3 linked regions of the Oryzias latipes genome follow. The protein of the gene in region 2 purifies or fractionates together with the protein of the main gene of each other region. This does not show direct contact. Links are inferred from orthologs where the notes say so. Each region holds a gene or a part of one and is shown on either strand. Other genes may lie near its edges. The genes, in order: ipo9, ran and nup214.

Region 1 (4,538 bases), on a different chromosome or scaffold from region 2:
AGGAATGACACCAACAACCCCCTTTAGTAAGGTTTTCATTTAAGATCTAACATGAAGGTTTGAAAAATGTTTTTAGCTTTAAAGATTTTGGTTTAAAAAAACAATTACGACACAATTGTAAATCGTCTTAGAATAAATCCTTGGAAAAATGTTATTGGAGCTTCTTTTTTTAAAAGACAGTCTTCACATAGTTTTGTCTTTGCTTGGTTTTTGGACTTTGAAATGTATTTTCTTTGACTCTACATGTTTGATCTTTATTATAAAACAGAAAAACAGTTTTATACCAATTTTGGGGATTTTTGCAGTTAAAAAAACATTCAGTTATCAGAATTGATGATTTTGTACAGTTTGAGGTTAATTGTGGAATAATTGTGTAAAATAATAAAAAAACATCAGTAAAAAAAAGAAGCTGGGTTTGGACAAAAACAACAGCATTCAAGTAATGCCATGAAAATGGTTTTAAGAGATAAATAAACAGATCAAATTGTAAAGTCGAAAAAAAAACATTTAAAAAGGCCCCAGACAACTTAGGGTTAACTGGTGTGCTGCATATGAATTAGCGGGTAGGTGTGGTTCAAATTGAAACTTGACATCTCTCATATTTGTGAATGTCACCATATTGTAACAAAACGAGGACAAACAAGCCTGACAGTTGTTAGATCCCACCCAGTAAGGCCACACTTCCTCTGAGAATTTGACGGAACCCTGTCAATCATCTCTGATTGTTCATTTCTTTGGATACAACTTCCAATCAAAAAGAAAAGAAAGTTTGTGTCATCAAAACAAACTGTTCTAAAATTCTATTTATCAAAAACATGCCTGTACAGTGAGGCTTATTTGGTAAACAGACTGAGCATCAGTTTATTTCAAATGGACAGCAATTTTAGCCATTTTCAAGGACATAGTTTCTGTAGAGCGGCAGGAGATCATCCGAAATTCACCTCGAAGTTGTGGACTGTTAGTGTAGAAGTAAGCCTCCACTAATTTCCCATTATCCCTTCCTTTTACAATCTCTCCCGCTAGTTTACGTTTTTCTCAACCCCAACCTAACATTACCGCTGTAACAAAATTGGTGCACAGTATTGGAGCTATCCAGCTGTACAGTTTAGATCAGATGTCAGCTCAGATGAGGAAAACAAAGACGGACATGGATCTATTTGTCTGCAAGTGAATGCATCAGAATGGAGCAGAGCAGAGAGCTTGCGGAGTGTAGTTTGTACCTAACAATTACAAACCTTTTCAAACTGCTTTTTTTTCTCTCTGCTCTTGATTCACAGCATTTTGAATCAAGAAAATTAACAGTTTTAATCCAAATTTGCTACATATAAATACATTTAAAGAGAGAGAAATGTAACGAGAACAAAAAAAAAAACAGGGTTTTCATTTCAGTGGGTCTAAAGTGTGTCTCACCTGCATTATTGTGTTGTCGTCTGTGCGTAAAGTGCACTGCGCTACCACAGGAAAGGCCTGACACACCAACATCTCAGACAGCGGCGGTTTTGTGTTTCGAACCACTGTAGTCAAAATATCTATGGAGGTCTGGAGAGAAGAGCACAGACAGAGACGAATGAGTTCTGAGTGATTTTATTTTGAAAATCAGACACCCCATGTAGATAAAAAAACAAGTGAATGGATTTATGGACAAGACCCTCTATGTGGCCCTTGAGGGCTCCCCTCCATTTAACAATGTTATTTGCTTAAAATGATGGAGAGATGGTTTGAAACTGTCTGTGGAACTAAAGATAATACTACATAACAGAAAGAAATGTTTCTTTCTCAGGATCTGACAAACAATGTGGATCAAGGGAAGGGTGTGTGACACTTGAAACTCATTTCTTACAGCGCACAGTCCAGTGGGGATCTTGTCAGGAGGAGCCTGCATGATGCTGACCAGGGTTGGTATGAGCCGCATCTGCATGGGGCCCTGGCAGCCTTCAATCTGCGCCAGCTCTTTAAAAATGTCCTGAGCTGAAGAAGCCACCACAGGGTCTGAGGAGGAGAGATAGAACACCATCAGAGAAAGCGCGGATCAAAAATGAGGCACTCAAATGTCGGAAAGGTAAACAAACCATTATTATATTTAAGGAAGATAGCAATGGTGAGGGGGCAAATCTTGTTCTCAGCACTGGTGGTGAAGGCTGGGTCCACAGTGCAGACGATGCACAGAGTCTCCATGACCAGTGTGAGCACCTCTGAGCTGAACTGGGCGGCCAGCTGGACCAGACCCTCCAGGATGCTGGGCAGGAAGGGCTGAAGTATGTGTGTGCTTTCTGAGAGCTTCAGCTGGTCACAGTATCTGAGGGGGGAACAGGTCATCTTAGCTATTGGAATGATCAAATCGAGACCATCCTTTCTACAATATAGCTCTTACTCTAAGGCTAAAATATCATTTCTAGTTTACTTGGGTGATACAGTCTAAAGAAGTAAAAATAATGCATTTAAAAAGCCCCATGAGCAGCCTACCCCCATATGGCGCGGACTGCGGAGATGCGGACGGATGGAGGCTGACTGTCGTGAAGGCCGCTGACAGTGGCCTGGAGGAACTGCTGGATGAGTTCAGGAGTCATGGCGGCTGTGAAGCGGCTGGCGGCCCACAGAGCTCGGCCGAGGAGGAATGGGGATGCAGCTGCAAACACGAAACGGAACAACATCTGTGTATTTTAACAAATTTCATGAATGAGCTCAGGCAAAAAAAAGTCAAACTTTTGGAAAAAAAAAATATGTTAAAAATTAACCTTAAAAACAACCACAATTTACGTTTAATATTTCAATCGTTGTTCAAACTTAACTGAGAAAAACAGCCCTTTTTACAGTTTTCTTCTCAATCTAAACCAAGGTGGGCCAACCCCGACCCGGGGGCCATATGCTGCCCTTAAATTATTTAATCTGGCCCGCCAAACTGGAATAAATTATATTGATAATCCTTAATAATATTTTATTTTCATTTTAGATGGTGCACTACAAATACACTGACCTTTTATCAGGTGCAGAAAATATTCTGGTGTTGGAAAATTGGTCCATGTGTTTTTAAGTCTGACAGTCATTTTCTCCATAATTCCAACAGCACACCAATGGAAAATTCCTTTAAATTTACTTTTTTTTTCTTCCAGAGGAACATCAACCGATCGGTGCAAATGGTACTAAAATAAGAACGATAGCCTCAGTTCTGAAATTAAAAACTCCAAAATGTTCTGTTTGAAAATATACTGATTATTTTTCAATCAAAATTAAAGCATGTTTTTGTCCAGATTATAGTTATTTCTTCCTTTTATGAGGTGGATTACAAAAACCCTCCACGCATCAGCTCCTGGGCCGACCTTTCGTTAAATAGTTGGCCACCAGTGATCTCACCTCTGCAAAGTGCAGCTCATTACTGCAGAGTACAGTATAGATGGCATTTGGGAACACAACCCAGATTTGCTCTTAAATAACTTTTCAACCTTTAGTTGTTTTCTAACCGTGGATGAGGCCTCCCACTGTTGTGGTGAAAATGACTTGTGAGATCATTGAAATCTGCTCATCTACTGCAAACCGCTAATGTAGCAGCCGTGGGTCACGATCTAAAAACGTCCCTGCAGGTTTGTGCAACAACATGCCAGAAAAATCCAGAGGACTCAAACTTACACGGCAAGTTCAGATCAGACAAGATGACACCAGCCAGAAATCCGTGCATGTCAAACTGGACGCGGCCGTTCTTTACATTCTCCGTTATGATGGTCTTGACAGAGCCCAGAGCCAACATACACGCTTCGTGAATCTTCCACCTAGTATTGTGACAAACATGCATATACGAGATATTTATCAAATTCTTCTTTGAGTCAAAACAGGAGGTCAGAGTCTGTCCTCACCAGTGCTCATTGCCAGTGTTTTTGGCCTGCTCCGCCTCCTGCAGGTGTCTGGTTGCAGCCGCGGCGAGTGCTGCTGCACTCTCATTCTGAAACTCTGCAGCCACAGTCTGCAGTTGAAATGGTTAGCATCATTACACAGAAAGACAGGAGTCTTTAGTTTTAACAAAACCAAATAGTTTTAACAAAACCAAAGTACTTTCTAATGTCCAAACCGAAGAACTCACCAGCAGCAGGTCCTGAGCGGAGATCCTGACAGAATAAGAAAGGCTGTCATCATCTTCATCTTCTACAAACTGCTGAGGATTTGCCGTCCACACTTTGATCTAAAGACAGAGCAAACCAGCAAAATGAAACATTCCAGGATGTTTGACAGATTCCTTAAGCCGGATCTAGATTTGACTCACCTGGTCTTCTGTGATCTGCATGTATAAGATGATGTAGTAGATGAGTTCGGGCAGCGCTTTCTTCACCGTGCTTTTAAACTTTTTTTTCTCCAGTAGTGTGTGGACAAAGTCGAAGATGCTGAAGACCAGATTCTCAAAGCCCAAGACCTCACCTGGAGAAAGCAAGCATCCAAGACGGCTGTGGCCACACAGACTTTGGTTCCCAAACGTTTCATTGAAGATTCTGCTCACCATCTGAGTCAATGGGGTCATCCACTTCCTCTGTGTAGTTGACTTCTGTTCTAAC
Region 2 (4,638 bases):
AACTATCATTGAGATTATTTCACATTTACATGTACTATTTAGGAAACAAAGATATTAAGCAAAAACAAAGTCAAGTCAATGTTTTAATGACAATATTTTTATTCAAAGTTTATTCCCCTTAGTGCTCCCAGTACACCGTACAACAGCATTATGTGAGTTGGGTAGATGCAGTGGAGAGTGCTTGATGAAAAGTAGCACGTTGCCATGCCAACAACAAATCTGGGATGGGCTTGTCCTACAATGAAATTAGAACGACAACTTTTGCACAAAGTTTTTTTTTCTTTGTAAGTTTTAAAACAAAAAAATTCAAAAATAAAAAAATCTGAAAAGGGATTTTACAGTAAAGGGGCAAAACAACTTCCTGTCCACAGTCAGAGAGAGAAGGGTAAAAGGAAAGGGTTAAGGAAAGCGGTTCCCAGGTTAGAGGTCATCTTCTTCATCTGGGAGTGCTGTCTGTGATGCAACCTGGAAAACAAAATAATGTTTAAGCACCCAACAGGAAAACAGAAGCAGAGCGTGTATATCGTTCCTTTGTGACATTTATTGTTTTTTTAATGAATGCACATGATGATTAATGTGCAATATGAAAGAAAAACCGTGTACTACTCACCTGAAGTTCTTCCTCGTATTTAGCGGCAAGGTTGGGGTCCATAAGGACCTCTGGGGGAGCAAGGGCAGGCATTGCCACAAACTCCAGATTTGGATCACCGATCAACTTCCTTGCTAACCACAGGAAGGGCTTCTCAAAGTTGTAGTTACTCTTGGCAGAAATGTCATAGTACTGGAAAAAGAAATTAAATAAGACAAATACAAATGAGTTTGTGTAAATTCAACACAGAGACACTGAATAATTAAAAAAAAAAAGAAAAGAAGCAATTTTACCTGCAAGTTCTTCTTGCGGTGAAACACGATGCTCTTGGCTTTGACTTTTCTGTCTTTGATGTCTACCTTGTTGCCGCAAAGGACAATGGGAATGTTCTCACAGACACGGACCAAGTCACGGTGCCAGTTGGGTACGTTTTTGTAGGTGACCCGAGATGTGACATCAAACATGATGATAGCACACTGAGCTGTTGATGGGACAGATAAGTATCAACTTTAATATTCAGAGGTCACACGCACAAGACAACCTCTCTGAAAATAAAAGGAGCACCTTGAATATAGTAGCCATCTCTCAGGCCCCCAAATTTCTCCTGACCAGCTGTGTCCCAGACATTGTACTTGATGGGTCCTCTGTTGGTGTGGAACATCAGTGGGTGCACTTCGACTCCGAGAGTAGCTGTAATAGAAGAAGACGCGTAGAGGTGTCATCGAAAGCACAAAATATTTTAAAATCAAGACAAAACCATATTGCTTTTAAGCGTGGCTCATGGGTTTATCTGCAATACCACATATTGCTAAACAGAAAATATTTACATTAATACTTTCAAATGCAAACTTTGAGCTTTTTGACTATTTTTAAACCTCCGTGTCACTAAACGCGACACCCCAAGTAAAATATTGGCTATTATATACAATCAAAGATTTGAATGATGTTCCAGCACATTCTAACTCAAAAATAGTATTGGGAACTTCCAACTGTTTCGGTTTGTACAGCAATATCTAAAAAGATGAAAATATTGTTTATCTGTAATTACAGTGGAATATACTCACCTACATACTTCTTCTCAAACTCTCCTGTAATGTGTCTCTTCACAAAAGTCGTTTTTCCTGTGCCTCCATCTCCAACCAGCACCAACTGTTGAGGAGACACTGCATTTAGCATTTACGAACACTGGGCAACAAATAAACATATCAATTGCTATGACATAACTTACCTTGAAAACTGCAACTGGTACAGACTGCCCCATTGAATCAGCCATGGCTGCGACTTTTCTAAGTAAAAAGAAAGGCGGGATGAATTTGTTAGCATGCTAGCGGTCTGCTCGGGTTAGCATTGGTCACATTAGAGGAAATTAAATATGACTAAACGAAGAGCTACAACCGTAATTATTTGTGGAATTTACGGTCTGTAAGTTTAAGAAGAACCGGGCCGTTACCCGCCTATAACTTCTAGCATGTTCTATACACACCAGCAAGTGTGTAGCAATGCGTTCCTCTTTTTAGTCGAAAACATAATTAACGAAAACGGGTCAAAAGAATACGGCATCATTAAATAAAAACAAACCTGCCCTAAGGCACAACGTTAAAATCGATGGTTACCAACTAGCTCGAATGCTAACAAGCACTAACGTAGTGCGCCATATGACGCGAGAGCGCACTTTTTCTTGTTCGGCTAGAACAATTGGTCTCGATACGCCACAAACGTGTTCCCCTCTGTAAACCGGTTCGAATCCGACCTAAGCACGTTTTTCACGTGCAAGTCATTTACGGTATTTTTAAAATCTAATATAAGGATACAATCAGACGATTATGAAAAAGCACACAGAAGTCCCCTTAATAACTGCTAGCAAACGCGAGCGTTAGCTTAGCACCGTGGGTATTCTTTTCAACGGGGCCAACTGCTAGCTTAGCTTAGCTAGCAGTTGGCACACAGAAATACAAAAAAGAAACACGAATAGCTTGATTGGTTTCTCTGAGTACACACATCACATGGCCTACACAAACGCGTGAATCCTAATCCTACCTCAACGTATTTTTCTCTATTAAACCCTTTAAACGGGTACAAAGTTGAAAATATGGAATGGCCTGCGGCAGCAAGTGATCACAGACTCACCGGTGTAACTGCAGCGAGAGGAAAGACTAAATGGCCGCGTTCGCGGGAGATTCAGCGTGGACTATGAGTCAGTTTCCGCCCTGGTCACGTGACTCACTAAACGGTTTGAAAAGAATTACCTTTTTGAGTTTGGGTTCTAAATACAGTTTAAAAAATATATAGTTTAGTATATTTATATATGTATATAATGTAATGTATAAATATAGCAATAATATAATATATAAATATTAAATATATAAAAGTCTGCTATTAGTTCTTTATATTCTCATGAATGCGTCCTTATATTTTTATTTTAAGACAATGATGCAATGCAACAAACAAATGAGCACAACATTTTCCAATGTGCTTTATTTTAGTGTCATAACTAGTCCTAAATAAGAGTATTTCACATTTTTCAAACTACACAGTCAGATCAAAGTGTTTCCAGACTTTGTATTAGCCTCATTTTGTATAAAAATGTGCAAATTTAACACTTATAAGTTTAACACTACTCATCTGTACAATATATAATATAATTTGTGCGTTTTTACGATTTTAAATTCTGACAGGAAAGCAGCAGACCTAAAGGCTTTGTGGCTCATATAATAGTAAAGTAAATGCTTTTAATGCAGTAAAGCCTAGTAAAGACTGCAGATGCAAAAGGTTTATCTGTACAAGTAGTCTGCTTGTATGTTGGCTGCTATCTCTGATTCCCATCGGTCCCCATTGTTGAGCAGCTTCTCTTTGTTGTACAGTAGTTCCTCGTGGCTTTCTGTGGAAAACTCAAAGTTTGGACCCTTAGAGAAATTTAAAGAGAAAAGGACAAATGTAAAAAGAAATACCAGACATTCAAACGTGAAAAACCACTCTGATCGCCAAACAAAAGAAAATCGCGATAAAAAATACAATACTTTTTCCTACCTCAACAAAAGCATCAACAGGACAAGCTTCCTGGCAGAAACCACAGTAGATTCACTTTGTCATGTCAATGTCATAGCGAGTAGTTCTCCTGCTGCCATCAGCTCGAGTCTCAGCCTCAATAGTAATGGCCTTAGACATGAGGAAACAAAAGATCAGACCAGACAAGCAGTTCTTGGTATAAGAAATCTTTACTTCAAAGGATAAAGGGCTGTAAGAGCCCAGCATGTCGTGTGCATACTGAGTGTTAGTCAAACGTTAAAAAAAATGCTACAGAAAAATATAGTATGTCATAAGCAAAATTGAAAGACCTGAAAATATTACTTAACATCAACTTTGGCATTTCTCCACCACCAGCCTGTAAATTTTGTAGTATTTGTAGATATTTTATTTCCTTTCCTTAACTTCCACTTCAGTCAGATCAGCTGATCAGCTGCTCTGGGATGAACCAAGGTCAAAGTGTAAGCTCTGGGGGGCCAGAGCTTTCGCTGTTGCTTGCTCCAAATGCTCATTAGACAGTTACCTGCACTATTTATTTGTATAACCTGCCAAAAAAAAGCTTTTCTTATGTAGCATGTCATTCATTTGAACAATAGAATAGAATAGGATAGAATAGAACAGGACAGAATAGAATAGAAGAACTACACAAGACAGAATGTATCACACTGAATTAAAATACAAGTAAAACACAAATTCAAAAGCATTCGATAAATGCAGACCAGTTCCTTTTAGTTTTTTTTTTAGGTTTATTTTTACTTATTACATCCTTGCATTTTGAAAGACGATGCTTTTATTCTTGTCATTTATCTTCCTGTCTGCCATATGTCTATTTCTCATTTGTTGACATGTGCATCATTTTATTTACAATAAAAATGTAAAACACTGTTAATTTGCGCTCACCTGAGCAGGGCAGATGGCTTCACACAGTTTACAGGCAATGCAACGCTCTTCTCCATTAGGATATCGGCGAAGGGCGTGCTCGCCACGGAACCGTGGCGACAGAGGGCCCTTCTCGAATGGATAGT
Region 3 (4,538 bases), on a different chromosome or scaffold from region 2:
GAAGCCCCCCTTCTTTTGGCGGTTCTCCTGCATTCGGTGGCGGCGCTTCATTCAGTTCAAGTCCGTCTTTCAGCAACCCTTTAGCTTCCCAGTCCAGTAAAGTGTTTGGCGAGGGAACAGCAGCCGCCAGCATGGGAGGATTTGGGTAATTATTAAAAAAAAAAGTATTTCAAGCAGTTATTGATTTCAATATGTGGCCCATTTTATTTGTTAAGTTTGCTGCTTTTGTAACAACATGAATACATTTGGTGTTGTGTGGCTTAGTGTAGTAGTATTTATGTTCTGCACCTACAGTCAATGTTTTGGTTTGGAACTATGTGTCATTCGGTTGTTTATGCAGCAGAGTGAGGAACAGCAGGTTTTGACTCACAGTGTGAAGCAACATGGAAATCCAAACATGTTTGTTTTCGCAAATAGAGCAAAGATGTCTACTTTATAAACTGGATTTCTTGTAAAAGCGTTCCCAGTGGTCCTTTTAATTGTAGCTATGCTATTTTAGGCAACATCCGAAAGCTGTGTTGTTTTCTAAGACATAGTTTCTGCAGAGTGACAGGAGTTTGTGAAAGTTCGCCTCTGAGTTGTAGGCGGGACTGTTCGTTGACTGTTAGACCATCATATTTTCTACGTCACCAATAAGTTCTTTTTCAGACTGCATTTTTATGTCTGCTCCTGATTCGCAACGATTTGAAAAAAGAAATACTCAGAAATGCAATGTTAGGCCTAATTTTCTTCATACATGTCCTCCATCATCAGAAGAAAACACCATTTCATCAAAGTGGTCCTTTAAGATGTCGCTTTTTTTTTATCTTACACCTTGAGTGTTTTTTCTCTTACTTAAACACCCTTTTATAGACCTAAGCCCTTTAAAACCAAAAAATATTTTACATTTTTTTATCATGTATTTCTTTTATATTTAAATCACAAAATGAGGAGATTATGATTCATTTGGTGCTTTTTTCTGACCTCACACAGTTTTAGTTTTTCTCCCTGAATTTTGCATTGAGTAGTATACTTGTTTACATGTTCTGTTAAAAATATAATCTCTCTTTTTTTTATTGAAATTAGTGTAACAGAAAAGTAGAATATCCAAAAAATGGTACAAAATCCCAGTAAGGTTATGTTTGAACATTTTAAAAGAATTACATTTACCTAGAAAATATAGTTTACAGCTCAAAACTCCCCTATACATTCAGGTTTATCTTGTTTGTTTGTGTTTCATCTTCCTTTTTCTTCAGCCTTTGCAAGTGTTTTCGCTGCAGTAAGCGTGACCACAAGCCTTAAAACTATGGATCTCTATGGGCGAGTAGATTATTCCCCCCAGATAATCTCACTCTGGGGTCATTCTGGCTGCAGATTAAACTGGCCAGCTCCCTCTGTTCTCCCCCAGTGTTTTGCTTATTCTCTTTCTCTCTCTCTTGGGGAGGGAGCGAGTCCTGTAGAAGAGATTAAATCCTGTTTAAATCCCTGTTTCTCAATCCCACATACAGATAAAGAAAGAAAGGGGGGAAAAGTGTCTATCTTGGCTCGCATTGGTCAAAACCCATCAAGGACCATTTTATTCTGTGTTTATGAATGTGTTCATTCAAATTGTCCCATAATCACCCATTTTCCAGTCAAACCTTCCATTTGACATTTGTTCCTGTTTTCAGTTTCTCCTCACCCCCCAGTGCCCCCTCCTTTGGGACTCTCGCCACTCAGACTGCGCCGTCATTCGGGAGCTTGGCCCAGCAGGGCCCTGGATTTGGAAGCCAGCCCAGCAGCTTCTCAGGCTTTGGCCAGCAGCCACAGACGGGAGGTGCGACTCCAACACTTGCATTCATTCCTCCGCTCCACTCGACTTGGGTTGTGTGGAGGGACTTCTGGGATAATTTGATGTTGTGTGCTCGCTTAGTAAAGCTCTGCAGCCTTCAGTTATTGATTTTGTGAACTCTTTGAAGCAAATCAGTGGGAAATAGGTTGTCCATGATGATTTATTTTTTCCTTCTATGATTTTAATAGTTGTATTTTTTTTTTGTATTGCAGGATTTTCAGGAAACGCATTTGGATCTCCAAATCCGTGAGTGTGTTTATTGATTTCTTTCACTTTATACTAATTAGCAGACATAAAAATGACTGAATGTCTGCTATAAGTTTGTTGAAACATATTTGAAAAGATCTTGTCCTACAGGCTGCTTAGTAATGTTAGATCTTTCCCCCTAAAGTAATTAGCTTAGCTCTCTAATCTTATCTTTTCCCTCCTCATCTCTCAGATCTGCTCTTCTCCTTCCTTTTTGTTCTTTTTTTCTTTCCTCCGTTCCTCTTCATCCGCTGTGGTGTCTCATTGCAGTTCACATCCCTCTGGCCTTCTTCTAGAAGAATGAACTTTAAATTGTGCAGGGGGCTGTGCAGATGAAGCGTTCAAGTGTTGTTAACAATCCATCACCATTTGTGCAGCTCATCATTATTACCGGCTGTTCTTTGCTATGTCAAAAACTGCCGTCTATTAATGTGTTTATATAAAAAATTTGAAATGTTACAAATTTTCATTCGCACATTAGAAATGTTACAAATTTATATTTAGTAACTATTATGCTTTGTGTAGTACTAACAAGTTGTTATAATTCTCATCATAGACCATTACAACAAAGTTGGATTAACAATCTCTAAAAGTAAGTCTGTTTTAAGAATTCAATAATTGAGTATTGGCCATCTCTGATTATTTGTTCTATTTCTAAAGTCCCACTCTGATCATCTATTGATCTCTTTAAATTATGATTATGCTATTAAACCACAAATTCAAAAACAGCGTTTTCTAGGACATACTTTCTGCAGAGCGATAAGAGTTTATTCGACATTAGTCTCTGAGTTGCAGTCGAGACCATCGATGTGGAGCAACCCCGCCACCCCTTCCCATCATCCATAACAGAGCTAGCGGTTACAACCCATCACTCCCCCAACCTAACATTACCAGTGCAACATAAATCCAATATTGGAGTTATCCAGCAGTACAGTTTTGAGCCAGATGCCAGATCAGGCGAGGAAAACAAAGACGTACATGGATCTAGTCGCCTACAAGTAAAGGCATCAGAATGGAGCGGAGCTGGGAGCTTGTAGCCCGCCTGTTATAGCTTCTATGTCACACCTACAACGGAATTTTTTCATCTGCTCCTGATCCACAGCGATTTAAATAAAGTCAAATACTCAGAAATGCAATTGTATGTTTTTATTTTCTTGATATATGACCTTCACCGTGAGAAAAAGGCCACAAGAATATGATAAAAACACCCAAAACACAATTTTTATCGGAGTGGGTCTTTAAAAAAGAAAAGAAAACTGAGATTTTGATAAACACGACTATTTCTGTTTGTTGTGCAGCAGCAGAGAGCACAAAGTTTTTTTTGTTGTTGTTGTCTTGCATGGAAAGTATGAAATGGTATGAAATGGCTCTAAATGTCATGAGCCAGCGCTCATCTGGCACGCCAAACTATAGTAAGAATAAATCAACAGAAAACCGATTGGATATGGCAGAGTGGAAGCTACGACACAAGTCATTGTTGTTGATAAAGGCAATTAGAAAGTCAAAGTAAATTTCTGTCAGACGATGGCATTCAGCCTCTCTGTTGTGTTCCCTCCCATCACCCCTGACAAAAAAACACACACATTCTGCACTAATCACACCTTCTTCAAATGCTTCACTTATCACATTTATTATCGAACAGCAGCAGCAGAGATTAGTTTTGACTGAACTAAAATATAAAGAAGGAGCTGCGAGAATGAACTGGGGGACAAAAATGAAATGCAGATGTCTTTTAGTTCTCTGTAAGCATGACCATGCTGCAATCTCATCTGTCTTTACAGAATAACCTGAATTATTCTGAATTTTTAGACCAAAAAATGATCCTAATAGCAGAAATGTTCAGAATCAGGTTTAGAAATGGTAAACAAGTAAAGATATAATTTAATATACCGCAGCAAGTCCTACTCGTTCTCAACATTTTTTTTGTTTTTTCCTTTCTTTTTCCAGACCGGGTGCTCCGTCGTTTGGCAGCTGGAGAAGCTGAGTTCCTCCAGGATCTCCTCAAACTTCACTAACAGCTTCCCCTTAAGTCGAGATGTCGGTGACTGAAGATAAAGGCTGGACAGTTGCATTATGGGTTGAAGATTCAAAATAACAGAAAAAGTCACATTCAGAGGAACTGAAAGCTCAGTTTATATCATCCATTCAAGGCTTTGTCATGCAATGTTTGTTTCGCCCCAAGACTTATAAAGTTTGATTCAAACTTTTTCACTGATTGCATCGGCTGATGGAAACTGAGCAGCTAAAGTCTTAACGGCTTCATCAGAGTGGTTTTCTTTACACACTTCACACATTCTTTGTAAAATGTAAAGAATGTGTTAAAGTTTGACTTTTAACAGATTTTGGCAGCAAGCTTCCCCTGGATGTATTTTTTTTACATTGAAATCCAGAAATAAATTGTAATTTTCAAACATTTTGGTGTTTTTGTATTCAGTTTCATACAATTTAAAAACAAATTTGAAACATAATATTAAAAATAAAA

The links.
Region 1: the proteins of ran (region 2) and ipo9 purify together in Homo sapiens (affinity purification with mass spectrometry; 3 studies listed by BioGRID and IntAct, with this or other methods). This does not show direct contact. The link is inferred for Oryzias latipes from reciprocal best matches to the Homo sapiens genes RAN and IPO9.
Region 3: the proteins of ran (region 2) and nup214 purify together in Homo sapiens (affinity purification with mass spectrometry; 3 studies listed by BioGRID and IntAct, counting the BioPlex papers as one, with this or other methods). This does not show direct contact. The link is inferred for Oryzias latipes from reciprocal best matches to the Homo sapiens genes RAN and NUP214.

Annotation. Positions count from the first base shown.
Region 1 is NC_019863.2:11,417,529-11,422,066, reverse strand, and holds part of ipo9 (importin-9), read right to left. Parts: coding exon 4,484-4,538; intron 4,405-4,483; coding exon 4,253-4,404; intron 4,172-4,252; coding exon 4,073-4,171; intron 3,956-4,072; coding exon 3,849-3,955; intron 3,765-3,848; coding exon 3,625-3,764; intron 2,627-3,624; coding exon 2,464-2,626; intron 2,297-2,463; coding exon 2,070-2,296; intron 1,990-2,069; coding exon 1,841-1,989; intron 1,540-1,840; coding exon 1,411-1,539; intron 1-1,410. UniProt on the Homo sapiens protein: Nuclear transport receptor that mediates nuclear import of proteins, such as histones, proteasome and actin. Serves as receptor for nuclear localization signals (NLS) in cargo substrates.
Region 2 is NC_019868.2:13,953,704-13,958,341, forward strand, and holds ran (GTP-binding nuclear protein Ran), read right to left. Parts: upstream 2,808-4,638; 5' UTR 2,717-2,807; exon of another isoform or gene 2,627-2,716; intron 2,460-2,626; exon of another isoform or gene 2,073-2,459; intron 1,876-2,072; 5' UTR 1,863-1,875; coding exon 1,818-1,862; intron 1,739-1,817; coding exon 1,654-1,738; intron 1,280-1,653; coding exon 1,154-1,279; intron 1,071-1,153; coding exon 883-1,070; intron 782-882; coding exon 611-781; intron 466-610; coding exon 421-465; 3' UTR 76-420; downstream 1-75. UniProt on the Homo sapiens protein: GTPase involved in nucleocytoplasmic transport, participating both to the import and the export from the nucleus of proteins and RNAs. Switches between a cytoplasmic GDP- and a nuclear GTP-bound state by nucleotide exchange and GTP hydrolysis.
Region 3 is NC_019870.2:10,676,484-10,681,021, reverse strand, and holds the end of nup214 (nuclear pore complex protein Nup214), read left to right. Parts: coding exon 1-145; intron 146-1,649; coding exon 1,650-1,795; intron 1,796-2,022; coding exon 2,023-2,056; intron 2,057-2,612; coding exon of another isoform or gene 2,613-2,646; exon of another isoform or gene 2,647-2,648; intron 2,649-4,003; coding exon 4,004-4,040; 3' UTR 4,041-4,469; downstream 4,470-4,538. UniProt on the Homo sapiens protein: Part of the nuclear pore complex. Has a critical role in nucleocytoplasmic transport.